Sus scrofa: one gene and its partner. The protein of the gene in region 1 purifies or fractionates together with the protein of each later gene. This does not show direct contact. Links are inferred from orthologs where the notes say so. Each region holds a gene or a part of one and is shown on either strand. Other genes may lie near its edges.

Region 1 (6,661 bases):
TGACTGTCCCACGCAGCTCTTCCCAGGAAGGCATGCCTCCCTGTCCTACCACTTCCACCCTCGGCCACAAACCCTTACTTACCACATGGGGGTATTTAGCTATTTTAGAAACCAATTTGGCTCTTGTAATATAATATCTGGAAGGAGAGAGAAGAGGAGAAAGCTGCAGGGGACCCCAGACAGCGCATGCCATCTCACCAGCCCTCAATTCCTGGGCCAAGTCCAAGCAGCCCTACCTAGAAATCTGGTCCAGATAAGAAGCTGCTTCACTCTCAACAGTTCTTAATTCTGCAACTGTCTCTTCCTGAAAAAAAAAAACAAAACAAAAAGGTTAAAAGCCACTTCCACATCACCCCACAGCAAACCAAAGAGAAAGGGAAAACACAAAAGCAGGGGAGATGAGATTACCTCCCAAACCTTCCTCTCCCATTTCCAATGCAAGCACATTACCTGAATGGACACCCCAAAGTTGTTCCCATCTTCTATCCTAGGAATCAGGAGTTGTACCCACATTTTGACCTGAAGGGTGAGGGGACCAAAATATGCATATGAGGATCTTAGCCTTTTCTACTTAAGCCAAGACATATACAACTCATGCTGCTGGGGCCAGATGCCAGGAGCACAGGAGTCAAGATAATTAGTCTGCCAACTCCAACATCACCTCCACGCCTCTGGCCCCACATCCATTGTCTTGCATAGCTCAAGCCAGGCTATTTGGGGTCAGCCCCTAGGTCATCAGCCCCTGCCTCACCGTGTTGCATTTCTCGATCAGCAGCCGAATCTCAGGCTTCACTTTCTCAATAATGTCCACCAGCTGCTGGTTGCTTTTTAGCATCCCATTGGGCATCACAAACACCTTGGTTCCTGGCAAGGACACGAGGAAGGTCAAATGACTGGAGCTGGGTGGAAGGAGGCAGCATTCCCCACCTTTCTCTCTTTCCTAGACCCGTGAGATACTATGACCTCTACCTTTGTTCCTGGCCATGCCTGTGGCATGTGGAAGATCCTGGGCTCCACAGTAGCGACCTGAGCCACAACAGTGACAATACCGGATCCTTAACCCACTGCGCCACAAGGAAAAGCTTATGACTTCTGCCTTTTATCTGTCACAAAGCTATCTATAAACCGTGACACCACCAACAGAATTAAAAAAAGAGAGAATATGGGGATTAACAGATGAGTGTCTAAAACATCCGGAAAGTCTAAAGAACAAGATTAAAATATGCTCTACAGACTTAACGCACCAAGCATTATTGAAGAGGAAAAAATGATATGAACTGGGGTTTTGCGAAAAATCTGTGATGTGTAGCCACCTCCAACCTCTCCCTTGGTAGTTCACATTAAGTCCAACCCTCCCTGTTAAATGGAAAATTACGGAGTTCCAGTCCTGGCACAGTGGAAACAATCCAACTAGGACCCATGAGGTTGTGAGTTCAATCCCTGGCCTTGCTCAGTGGGTTAAAGGATCTGGCGTTGCCATGAGCTGTGGTGTAGGTCGAAGATGCGGCTCAGACCTGGCATTGCTGTGACTGTGGTGTAGGCCAGCAGCAACAGCTCTGATCAGACCCCTAGCCCGGGAACCTCCATATGCCGTGAGTGCAGCCCTATAAAGACAAAAAAAGAGGAAAGGAAAATTAGGTTTAGAGTACTAGACAATGTCTGGAGAGCTTAGGAATGCTAATGCTAGGAAATAAAATCAGATCCTGCTTGCTGGACAGGAGAGCACCAGATCCATCCTGCTTCTCAGGGCTGCAAGCCAGGAAGGGTTGGGGTAGGGGACAGTGAAGGTGGCTCTTACCTTGGAAGGCCTCTTCACATTCATCCAACCTTCGCTTCTTGTAAGTGGGCTAAGGATACAAAGAGACAAGAATCAGCCTATTCGACACTCACATCCCCACTGCAAGTTACCCTTCTAGCAAGTTTAATCCCTACCTTGACTTCACAGGTTGTCTTATTAATTTACCCACAATTCACTAAGCACACACAAAGCTTTAAGAAAAGGTTCTTCCCACAAAGCAACTTACACTATAGTTGGAAAGACCAACTTTTCAAGAAATATAACACATTAGGCAACCAGGGGAGGGGTGGATACTATGAACAACAGAAAGAATGAACTACTGAATGCAGAGTGAGTATAACTAAGGGGATTATAAACAAATGTGCTTGTTCCACAAAGAATATTCAATCAACAAACATGTATTTAGCACTTGCAAGGAACAATGCTAGGTGCTGGGGATACAAAGATAATTCAGATAGTTTCTCCTTTCCAAAAGTGCAAGTTCTACCCATGAGACACCGACGGATAAATAACAATATATATAGCAGATAAATAACAATATGGGGTCATCATTGTTATAACAGAATGTGGACATATTCTAAAGACTAGTTGCTAAAGATACAGAAAGACGGGGAACTGCAGTTATATAGCAAGAACAATTGCCCCCTCCCATAACAAGACTCAAGACACTGAAACAGGGATGAAAAGTCTTGCCTAGAGCCATGGTGACAGACCAGGTAACCTGAGGGACCTTGTCACTATTAGCCCTATTTTCAACTCACTCTAACAGAGTACCCATTAACACATGCTACAAATGAAAACCGGGGACCGAAGGGGGTGTACCAAAGTCATATGTCTGTAAGAATCCTCATTCCGGGAGTTCCCGTCGTGGCGCAGTGGTTAACGAATCCGACTAGGAACCATGAGGTTGCGGGTTCGATCCCTGCCCTTGCTCAGTGGGTTAACGATCCGGCGTTGCCATGAGCTGTGGTGTAGGCTGCAGACGCGGCTTGGATCTCGCGTTGCTGTGGCTCTGGTGTAGGCCGGTGGCTACAGCTCTGATTCAACCCCTAGCCTGGGAACCTCCATATGCCGCGGGAGCGGCCCAAAGCAATAGCAAAAAGCCAAAAAAAAAAAAAAAAGAATCCTCATTCCCAGATCCAAATCCCACTGTCCCCTGTACCCCTGTACACGTTCAAGCTGACCAGAGACTTGAGGACAGAGCGCCTACTGCTTCGGCACACACACAGAGATAAATACAGGATACTTACACCGTCCAGTCCATCATGGCTATTGGTGAGAAGAATGGGGTCAGGGACTGGGAGATTCATGTCTGAGTGGATCTGAGTTAGGTCATGGATGTTTAGGATTGGCTCCTGAAAAGAGACGCCCACCCCCAAAACATCAGTCTTTTCAAAATGAACAAAGAAGTATTTCATTTCAAGGGCAACATATGAAGACGGCTTTACAGCACAAAACAAGATAGAATCAACACGTCATTTGTCCCATTTGACAGAAAGACCAGGGCCAAAAAAACTGGGGACTCTGAGGAAAAGAAAAGGGTCTCTCACCTTCAAAAAACTATCAAGTTCTAACAATTTCTTTGGGAAAAAATTTGCCACCAAGTCTTCTGCCTAAAGATGAGGGAAAATATAGCTGAATTAGTAACTGAGGGAAGGTCTGTCTCTACAGACATCTCTTCTCTGGAGAACTCCCAACCATTAACCAATGCTCGATTTTCTACTTCTTTCACTCACCTCACTTGTAATCCGCTCCCTGAAAGAATCAACCTAAAATTAACAAAGAAAGCAATTCAGTAAGAGCAAGTCAGTACCTGGCAAGAGAAGTATGGGCAGGATGGGGAAACCCAAATCCAACTGTCTTTCCCTCACCTTGTAATTGTAATGAGAAGCTGAGAGGCCCCCAGACTGCAAATACTTTATTTTTTTAAGGATCCATTTCTCCATCTCAGGAGAGGGAAGCGGGGCTGGAGGGCAGCACCCACCTGTCTTCCCTCCCTCCCTCCCTTTGTCTGTAGCTTGTCTGAATTTGAAAGCAGACAAAAGACAGGTAGATGGGAGAGGCGTGAGCTCACAAACATGTCAACCCCCATACAAACCTGGCCTAGGATGTGAGGCAGGCCTGACGCCAAGGGCAGGGGCAGTAGCAGCGCCCAGAGATGGGGACGTTGCTGGGCTGGGGGGACTTCCAGCTGTCACTGGCCTAAAGCACTAAGTCCACCACGTGTCCGCGGAAGTCTCCCCGGGGCTCTCCACCATTAGACAGGGTACAGAAGGCCACCCCATAGTAGCGTCTCCCCCGATGCCATCTCTGGGAGTGGGGGGCTGGGCTGAGCCGAGCGGAAGCTCAGGGCTGGTGTCCCCAGGGAGACAAAGACGCCATGGGGAGTAGGGAGCCAGTCAGACAGCTCGAGGATCGAAGCAAGGAGTAAGGAAGCCCGGACCGTACCCCTACCTTGAGCTTTACTTCCTGATCCACCTTCAGCAACGAGGCCATGGCCGGGCCGGGCCGTGTCCGCTCCGCTGGAGACCGGAGGCGCTGTGGGCTCCGGGGAGAGGGTCAGAGGGACGGGAGGAATCTCGGCTGCTCTCGGGACGCGGCCGCTCTCGCTGGCCCACTCACTGCTCACTTGCTCCCTCCCTTCGTGCCGTCCGTCCGCCCGCCTGCTGCCTGCTGCCTGCTCTCTCTCGCTCGCCCTCCCGGCTTTCGCCGCTCACACCGGAAGTTACGTCACAGCCAATCGCCGGGACTCCGAGAGGATGTGCACGTGCCCTGCGCAGCCGCGCTGAGGTTCGGCTCTGAACGATGGTAGCTCTGCTCCTATCTCTCGGCTCCTGTGCCCGATAAGGGTGAAGTAAAAGGGAGGGCAGCAGAGGGTGGTGGAGTGAGATCGGAGTCTCAGAGAGACTCGAGGACCGTTTGCCTCTCTGTTATTCCGGCACTCACCTTCACCGAAGGGACCGTCGGAGGCGCTGCTGCCTGGAGTGGGGGACCCGACAGAAGACGCCGTCGCGCCCCGGTGACGTCGGCCCGAGGAAGCCGGTGGTACCCGCGCTGGGTTCGGGGCGTCTAGTCTCTGATTCCTGCTGTCTCCTCCTCTTGGTCCAAGCTCTCATGTTAGGTTGGAGCCTGATAGGAAACAAGTCCTGTTGTACCAGGCTTCCCCGCCTTTCTCTGCCATTTAGCCGCTTACTCCTAGACCTCAGAGATCAAGTGCCAGATGTATGGACAAATTGATGCCTGTAGTCTGGCGGTGCTTGTCCTAGGCTACACAGTGTTTACAGTATATCCAAGTCCAGAACTCACATCTCCTAACTTCTAGGGCAATGCTGTATCCATTTTCCTCGTGGAAGGCGGAGACTGTATTCCCCCCTACCCGACTTTTTGTCGCCCAGCCCCGCCCCCCACCCACCGGAGGCAGGTGGAAGTTCCTGGGCCTGGGATTGAACCCTGGAGACCGCAGGGAATGGAGCCTCTGTAGTAACAAGGCCAGATACTTAACCAGTTGCACACAGTGGGAACTCCCCAGGCTGTCTGTCTTAATTCACCCATTCATCTGTCTTATAGCATTGGTTATTTCGCACAACAAATCGGAGTAGGCTCTGGGACAGCAGTGTCTCAGAGGCTAGAAATATAATGTGAGTCACTTATGTAAGTTAAATCTTGTGAACTGGAGTTTCGCATTTACGGTTACTTGCCATCTGCCTCTACGTGGATTAAACCATGAGCCATGGCAGCTGCTGACCTGCAGAACCCACTAAGCAGAGCTCAGGGTGGAAACCAGGAGTGAGGCACTCTGTGCTATGGGAAAACTGGAAGAATAGGTCTTTCGGATAGTTAGATCTTTCTTATTTTTTATTTTCTCGGGCTGCACGTGAAACTTGGAAGTTCCTAGGCTAGGGGTTGAATCAGAGCTGCAGGTGCTGGCCTATGCCACAGCCACAGCAATGCCAGATCCGAGCTGCATCTGCAACCTACACCATAGTTTACAGCAAAGCCCAATCCTTAACCCCTTGAGCAAGGCCAGGGATTAAATCTGCATCTTTATGAATACTAGTCAGGTTCTTTTTTTTTTTTTTTTTTTTTTTTTGCTATTTCTTGGGCCGCTCCCGCGGCATATGGAGATTCCCAGGCTAGAGGTCCAATCGGAGCTGTAGCCACCGGCCTACACCAGAGCCACAGCAACACGGGATCCGAGCCGAGTCTGCAACCTACACCACAGCTCACAGCAACGCCGGATCGTTAACCCACTGAGCAAGGGCAGGGATCGAACCCGCAACCTCATGGTTCCTAGTTGGATTCGTTAACCACTGCGCCACGACAGGAACTCCCTAGTCAGGTTCTTAAGCCAAGAGTCACACCAGGAACTCCAGTTAGATATTTTTAGGAGAAGATTTTATGTGCCCAATTCTTGCATTTCCTAGTATCTAGGAAAACTAAAATCCTTCATGGTGATGTCTGCTCCTCGCGACTAGTAGTAATCTTCACGAGACCAGAAGCAAACTTTTGTGAAATGTGTGCGTGGCTGCACACACGTCCCCCTTCCCTTTATCACATATATCCTGATATTTCCCCTTTCCTCTTTGCGGTATTTCAGAGCTACAGCAGTTGGGCTGTAGTTAAGTCAACAAAACAAGGGATGTCACAGTCATCTGCAAATGCAGCCACCTCCAAGAGTGAGCCAGTGAGCCCTGAAAGAACTCAGGAAAGAATACCTGCCCTCTAATGGCCTTCAGACTGCAGCCACTCCTAACAGCTAGCCCTGAGGAAGCTAAGGCTGTGAAAACACAGGATATTGGCCCGGATAGCTGAGGTGCATATCAAAGCAATCATTTCAGTGAGTGCAGATCTCTTTTGTTCCTA
Region 2 (5,981 bases), on another chromosome or scaffold:
CAAAGGCTCTGTCCCTTGAGTTTCAGGGATCTTTGTTAAAGTTAAATGAAGGTAGGTTCTTTTTCCAAAAACTCAACTGGATATAAAATTAAATAAATAATTTTTACTTTCTTAATTTTGAGTTATAAGACTAAATCTTAAGAGCCTCTGGATTCTTTTTTTTTTTTTTTTGGCTGTGCCCATGGCATGTGGAAGTTTCTAGGCCAGTGATTAACCCAAGCCATAGCAGTGCCAATGCCGGGTCCTTAACCCACTAGGCCACCAGGGAACACCGATTTTTATTTGGATGGAGGCGTGTAAGATTCAAGGTTTTTATCTTGGCCTGTTAGAAGAGTTCTTTCAGTAAATGATATTCATGTTAAAAAAAATGCGTAAGAGTTCCCATAGTGGCTCCGTGGTTAACGAACCTGACTAGTATCCCTGAGGTCATGGGTTCGATTCCTGACTCACTCAGTAGGTTAAGGATCCACTGTTGCTGTGAGCTGTGGTGTAGGTCACAGACACAGCTAGGATTTGGCATTGCTAACTCAGATCCCTAGCTTCTGTGGCTGTGGCTTAGGGCAGCAGCTGCAGCTCTGATTCGACCCCTAGCCTGGGAACCTCCATATGCTGTGGGTACGGCCCTGAAAAAAAAAAAAAAAATGTGTAGCAGTGCATTTAATGGCGTACCAGTGGCATTGCCATATCCTAATATTTATTTCTCAGGTTTAAGTCATATGCAATTTGATAATTTCACTGCTTTGAGGCTTTTTTCTCCATTTTATGTAACATTAAAGGAACTAGTAATGTTTGACCCAGAAAAGGAGCAAATTAGGGGGAACATGGCAGTTGTCTTCAAACAACTGAAGCATTGTCTGCTGAAGAGGGGATTTGGCTCCGTTTGTGTACGTCCCAGTGCATCGAACCTGTGTGTGGAATTTACAGGGGGATGGATTTCAGTTCTGTCTATTTCAGTTCTGTCAATTCTAAGAACTATTATACTAGTCAGATCTGCTCCGAGGCTTGGCTGCCTGGAAGGGAGGGCAGTGATCAATCTTGAAATAAGGATTGGTTGAAAATCTCCTGGGTATGGACTGTAGGTTCCATTGCCAGTTGGAGAATCATGTTAGGTGGGCTATAAGGACCTGTCATGTTCTGAATTATTTACCAGGAAATAAGGGTGAGGGGAAGAAAGCAGACAGCCAATAGAGGACGAGAAAAGAGAGCTACAGCTAAGAAAGGGCACATGAATGTCCAGTATGTCTCTTCTGTCCCTTAGAGTTCTACATAGTTGACATTTTTTCTGCCAGAGACATTTAAGAAAATGTTGGCTCTCTTTCCATTAGAGTTCACTCTGTAGCACTTGAATTTTTGGCATTTTTGGCGTAGTCACAGAGCCAAAAAATTACGAAAACAATTATGTTTCTGTACTAGGTCTCTGGCTAGAGACATTGAGTAGTGCTTAATCAGAAGTGTCCAGGTTGCGGGATTTAGGTGGCAGCAACAGCTTCTGTCAGTTGATCTGGTTTTCTTTCTAGTGAATTAAAAAATTCTCTTACTGTTACCTTGAACTAGACTTCAGCTACAGTAGGATTTAAGCTGAGACTATTTTCTTGTTCTGCATGTTTGGATTTGTTTTCTCAGCTTACATTTTTGTCTTGACTAGAGAAAAATGTTTCATGAACATTCTCAGCACTGGAGTTTGAACTCTTTTCACCCAGGATCCCTGATTTCCAGGGAGGGGTATGGTCACCTGGGTAAGAGCGTGAATTTTTGCTGTCAGGCCTGGATTTGATTCTCATCTCCATCATTCACCACCTTTATCACCTTAGACAAGTGACCTAACTTTTTTGGACCTCCATTTCTTCAGCTGTAAAGAGATGGTATCTAGGGTCAGTATGAGCATAAAAGAGATACTATACATTTAAAGTATTTAGTAGGTAGTAAGAGAGTAAATGGTAATTAATTCATTTTTGTGCTAGCAGTAGAGGCTTCTTTTTTTGTTATTAGGGGTCATCTTGGAATAGACATTGAGTAGTGTAGAATATGTGCTTCCTTGTTAGGATTTATTTCTACGAATAGCTCATAATGTATGAGTTATTATTAACATAGAGTTAATTCCACAGTTCTTCAAAAGGAAAGAAACCAGCAAAGAAAAGCAGGAAGGTTTAGTTTAAAAGAAGTAATACACATACACATGCCTCTGTCTTTATTTCCTTCTCCCCTCCTTTCTTTCTTTCTTTCTTTCTTTTTTTTTTTTTTTTTTTTTTGTCTTTTTGTCTTTTCTTGTGCTGCTCCCGTCGCATATGGAGGTTCCCAGGCTAGGGGTCCAGTTGGAGCTGCATCTGCCGGCCTACACCACAGCCACAGCAATGTGGGATCTGAGCCGTGTCTGCGACCTACGCCACAGCTCACGGCAACGCCGGATCCTTAACCCACTGAGCAAGGGCAGGGATCGAACCCGCAACCTCATGGTTCCTAGTTGGATTCGTTAACCACTGCGCCACGATGGGAACTCCCCTCCCCTCCTTTCTAAAGGAAGAGTCAGGGATTTGAGTCTTCTACATCAACATATGCATAAAATGGCTGAGGTTATTATAGGAATGAAAAAAAAGACAAAGACTGAGGATAGAATACTAAGTGGCACCGATGGGGAGTTTACAGGGAGGAAGGACAGGAAGAGATGAAGGGAGGTGTCGGTTTAGCAGAGGGCAGAATACATTGAACCTGAACTTAGGCGATCTGGTTCTTCTAGCCTCCACTTTATCCACTCGTGGTTTGAGTGCCTCTAGGTGTATCCCTTCCCTGTTGAACAGACTAGACTCATCTCTAAGCCTCCTTGAATACCTGCGTTTCTCCTTTCTGAATCTACTTGGAAGTAAGGTACAGGTGAGTAAAGTAGTGTCATGTCCCTGAAATAGGAATTTCGAGATGGAACAATGTCAGATGTTATAGAAATAATGGAGGATAAGAACTGGGAAAAAGATATGGAGCTCAGGAGGCCAATTTGTTTAGATGAAAGGGACAGAGAAAAATCTGGGATGTAAGAGTTTCTTTGGAATGGCCTATCATGAGAGTTACTCTAAGTTTTCACGGTGACTTTGAAGATAACATAGATGGTTAATGAAACCATCTGATACACGAGGAAAATGTAATCATGTGCTTTCATCAATTACCTGTAAATTATTTGAAGACTGCTTTAGTTCAGGGTTGAAAGGAATTTGAGTAGTCTGTTGCTGGGGGAAGACAGAGCTCAATCTTCTTGTTTCTATGTAATTTTAATTGCAGTTCTCACTTGAAATATTTTGTTTGTTTTTTGTAGACTTCTTGTTCCATTATGGATGGAGGGGATGATGGTAACCTTGTTATCAAAAAGAGGTTTGTATCTGAGGCAGAACTAGATGAACGGCGCAAAAGGAGGCAAGAAGAATGGGAGAAAGTTCGAAAACCTGAAGATCCAGAAGGTACATAGGCTTATAGTCTGGCATTCAACATAGTGATCTTTAATCCTGTGCAAAGTAGGTATTCACGTCTTCATTAAGTCATTAATTCTGCTGTAGAGTTGCTCCGTCGCTGGGAGCTGCCCCAGGATCCTCACATCCTTGCCCTTTGCACCTATCACACTGTCTTCCAGGAGGTTCCCCTAGTCTCTTCCATCTATACAGGTGGATCCAGGCTCTGAACAGCTGAGAGTGTTGCTACCATGTTGGGTTTGGGTGGGTGCCTCATCCAGTTAACCGGCTCAGGCCGGGGCCTATTGACATTGATAGTTGGCTTTGAGAACTGCTGGCCCCTCTCTGAGGTCCAAAGGGTAGCTGTGGACTTTGAACTATTTTTGTGTTATCTTTGCCATCAGATCGTGCAGAGACTTGACTTTATCTTTAAAAATCCTTTGTGGCTCCAAAAGAATATGAAAGTATTCTAAAGTATATGTTTTGGTTTTTTTTTTCCTTCTCCCTCCCTTTCTCCTGCCCCCTTTCTCTCCCTTCCTCTTTCTTTCAGAATGCCCAGAGGAGGTTTATGACCCTCGCTCTCTATATGAAAGGCTACAGGAACAGAAGGACAGGAAGCAGCAGGAGTATGAGGAACAGTTCAAATTCAGTAAGCTTCAAAAAACACAGCATCCAAGCAACTGTATAGGGCCTTTTTGGTGCACTTTTGCCTCGTGCAACACTTTCTAACTAGCCATGGAATTGTCTTGATTATCTAATCTCTAGAAGCTCATTTGGTGGAAAAGAGATAACTTTGTACCATCTAGACTACAAAGAACATTTTGTTTAGAACTCAAGAAGCCTATTTTAATTCTATGCTAATATCTAGTAGTGGGAGAGAAGCCTTGATTTTATGCCAGGTTATCTCTCCAAAAGCCACAGTGTTTACAAATTCTTTCTTCTAATCCCCTGAAGGATACACTGTTTATTAAAAAAAAAAATCTTATTGGACTGTATTTTCTCTTTAGCCTGCTAAGTGTTCCTTGTTTAATTATTCCCTCAGAAAACATGGTAAGAGGCTTAGATGAAGATGAGACCAACTTCCTTGATGAGGTTTCTCGGCAGCAGGAACTAATAGAAAAGCAGCGAAGAGAAGAAGAGCTGAAAGAACTGAAGGAATACAGAATATCCTTTGTACTTTGAGAAAGTTGTTAGTTTTCTCACCAACATCTACGAATTTTAGTGTCTTCATAAGTAGAATGAGGGTCTTCTGCCAGGTGATCTGTAAGTTCCCTTTTGACACTGATGTTCCTATGACTCTGAATAACTGGCAGTGATGTATAGAGTTACACTGTGTGCAAGAATCTGTCAAAATCAAAAATCTAAATCCTTTAGGATTAGCTCAAGGCCTAAATCCTAATAGTACCAGGGTATTTTTGCCTTGTGGAATTAGACTCTGAGACAGATGGGCAACGCAGTAAACTTCATCCAGGGGAGAAATTGGCCTCTAAGTTTTAAAAGGAAATGTTTAGCAACTCTCCCTATAGATGTAGCCTGGTGTGTCCCCACAGAAGGGTAGAGAAAGCATCCAAGATGACTTAGCTTTGGCTCAGCATTGCCTTTCTAGCATCCACTTGAATGTCTTAATCAGCATCCCAGGTGTAACTTGGCGGAGTCACATTCTCAGTTCCATACCTCAATACCTCTACCGTCATCATACCACCCCCCACCAAACTTTTTTTTTCTCACGTGATGGTGCTCCTATACCCCCGGGCACCTGGGCCAAAAACTGCCTTCAGAATGTGCTCTAAATCTTACAGTTCTTGCTATTTCTATTGTCACCGCAGTCATTATAGAGGCTTCTCTGGACAACTATGACCATCTAATTATCTTTCTTCTGCTCTCCCCCCACCGCAATCCATTCTCCAGACAGTAGTCAAGGGGAGCTTTTGAAAATATACATAGGATCCTATCACTTTCCTGTTTGAAACACTAGTGACTTCCTGTTGCATTTAGACTTAAGTCTATATTCTTCACAAGGTCCTACAAGGCTCTGCATGATTGAGGCCAGTTCACTTCCCTGTTGTATTGTGAACTAATCTTCCTCGTGTTTGCCATTCCCAGGCCTACTGGCCTTCGTTATGTTCTTATACTGAGCTCTGTGGGTCCATTTAAAGCCTTTGTATTTGCTGTTTCCTCAGCCTAAAATGTTCTGCCCTCAGATTTTACAAGGCTAGCATTTTAATGACACTTGGATCTCAGCTCCCTACATTATAGAGACCTTCCCAAAATACTCCATCTAAAATTTCACCCACCCTTGGAGTTCCCATCATGGTGCAGCGGAAACGAATCCAGCTGGGAATCATGGGGTTGCGGGTTCACTCCCTGGCCTTGCTCAGTGGGTTAAGGATCTGGCATTGCCGTGAGCTGTGATGTAGGTTACAGACGTGGCTCCGATCTGGCGTGGCTATGGCTATGGCATAGGTCAGCAGCTACAGCTCCAATTTGAGCCTTAGCCTGGGAACCTCCATATGCTGCGGGTATGGCCCTTAAAAGACAAAAAGACAAAAA

The links. Proteins that work in one complex are often made in the same cells at the same time.
Region 2: the proteins of PSME3 (region 1) and FAM192A purify together in Homo sapiens (affinity purification with mass spectrometry; 4 studies listed by BioGRID and IntAct, counting the BioPlex papers as one, with this or other methods). This does not show direct contact. The link is inferred for Sus scrofa from reciprocal best matches to the Homo sapiens genes PSME3 and PSME3IP1.

Annotation. Positions count from the first base shown.
Region 1 is NC_010454.4:20,031,052-20,037,712, forward strand, and holds the start of PSME3 (proteasome activator complex subunit 3), read right to left. Parts: upstream 4,296-6,661; 5' UTR 4,295-4,295; coding exon 4,253-4,294; intron 3,760-4,252; exon of another isoform or gene 3,745-3,759; coding exon of another isoform or gene 3,670-3,744; intron 3,568-3,669; coding exon 3,535-3,567; intron 3,412-3,534; coding exon 3,349-3,411; intron 3,154-3,348; coding exon 3,049-3,153; intron 1,848-3,048; coding exon 1,799-1,847; intron 865-1,798; coding exon 752-864; intron 520-751; coding exon 451-519; intron 305-450; coding exon 237-304; intron 138-236; coding exon 83-137; intron 1-82. UniProt on the Homo sapiens protein: Subunit of the 11S REG-gamma (also called PA28-gamma) proteasome regulator, a doughnut-shaped homoheptamer which associates with the proteasome. 11S REG-gamma activates the trypsin-like catalytic subunit of the proteasome but inhibits the chymotrypsin-like and postglutamyl-preferring (PGPH) subunits.
Region 2 is NC_010448.4:19,139,219-19,145,199, reverse strand, and holds part of FAM192A (protein FAM192A), read left to right. Parts: intron 1-2,734; exon of another isoform or gene 2,735-2,868; intron 2,869-3,301; 5' UTR 3,302-3,316; coding exon 3,317-3,443; intron 3,444-3,981; coding exon 3,982-4,080; intron 4,081-4,473; coding exon 4,474-4,595; intron 4,596-5,981. UniProt on the Homo sapiens protein: Promotes the association of the proteasome activator complex subunit PSME3 with the 20S proteasome and regulates its activity.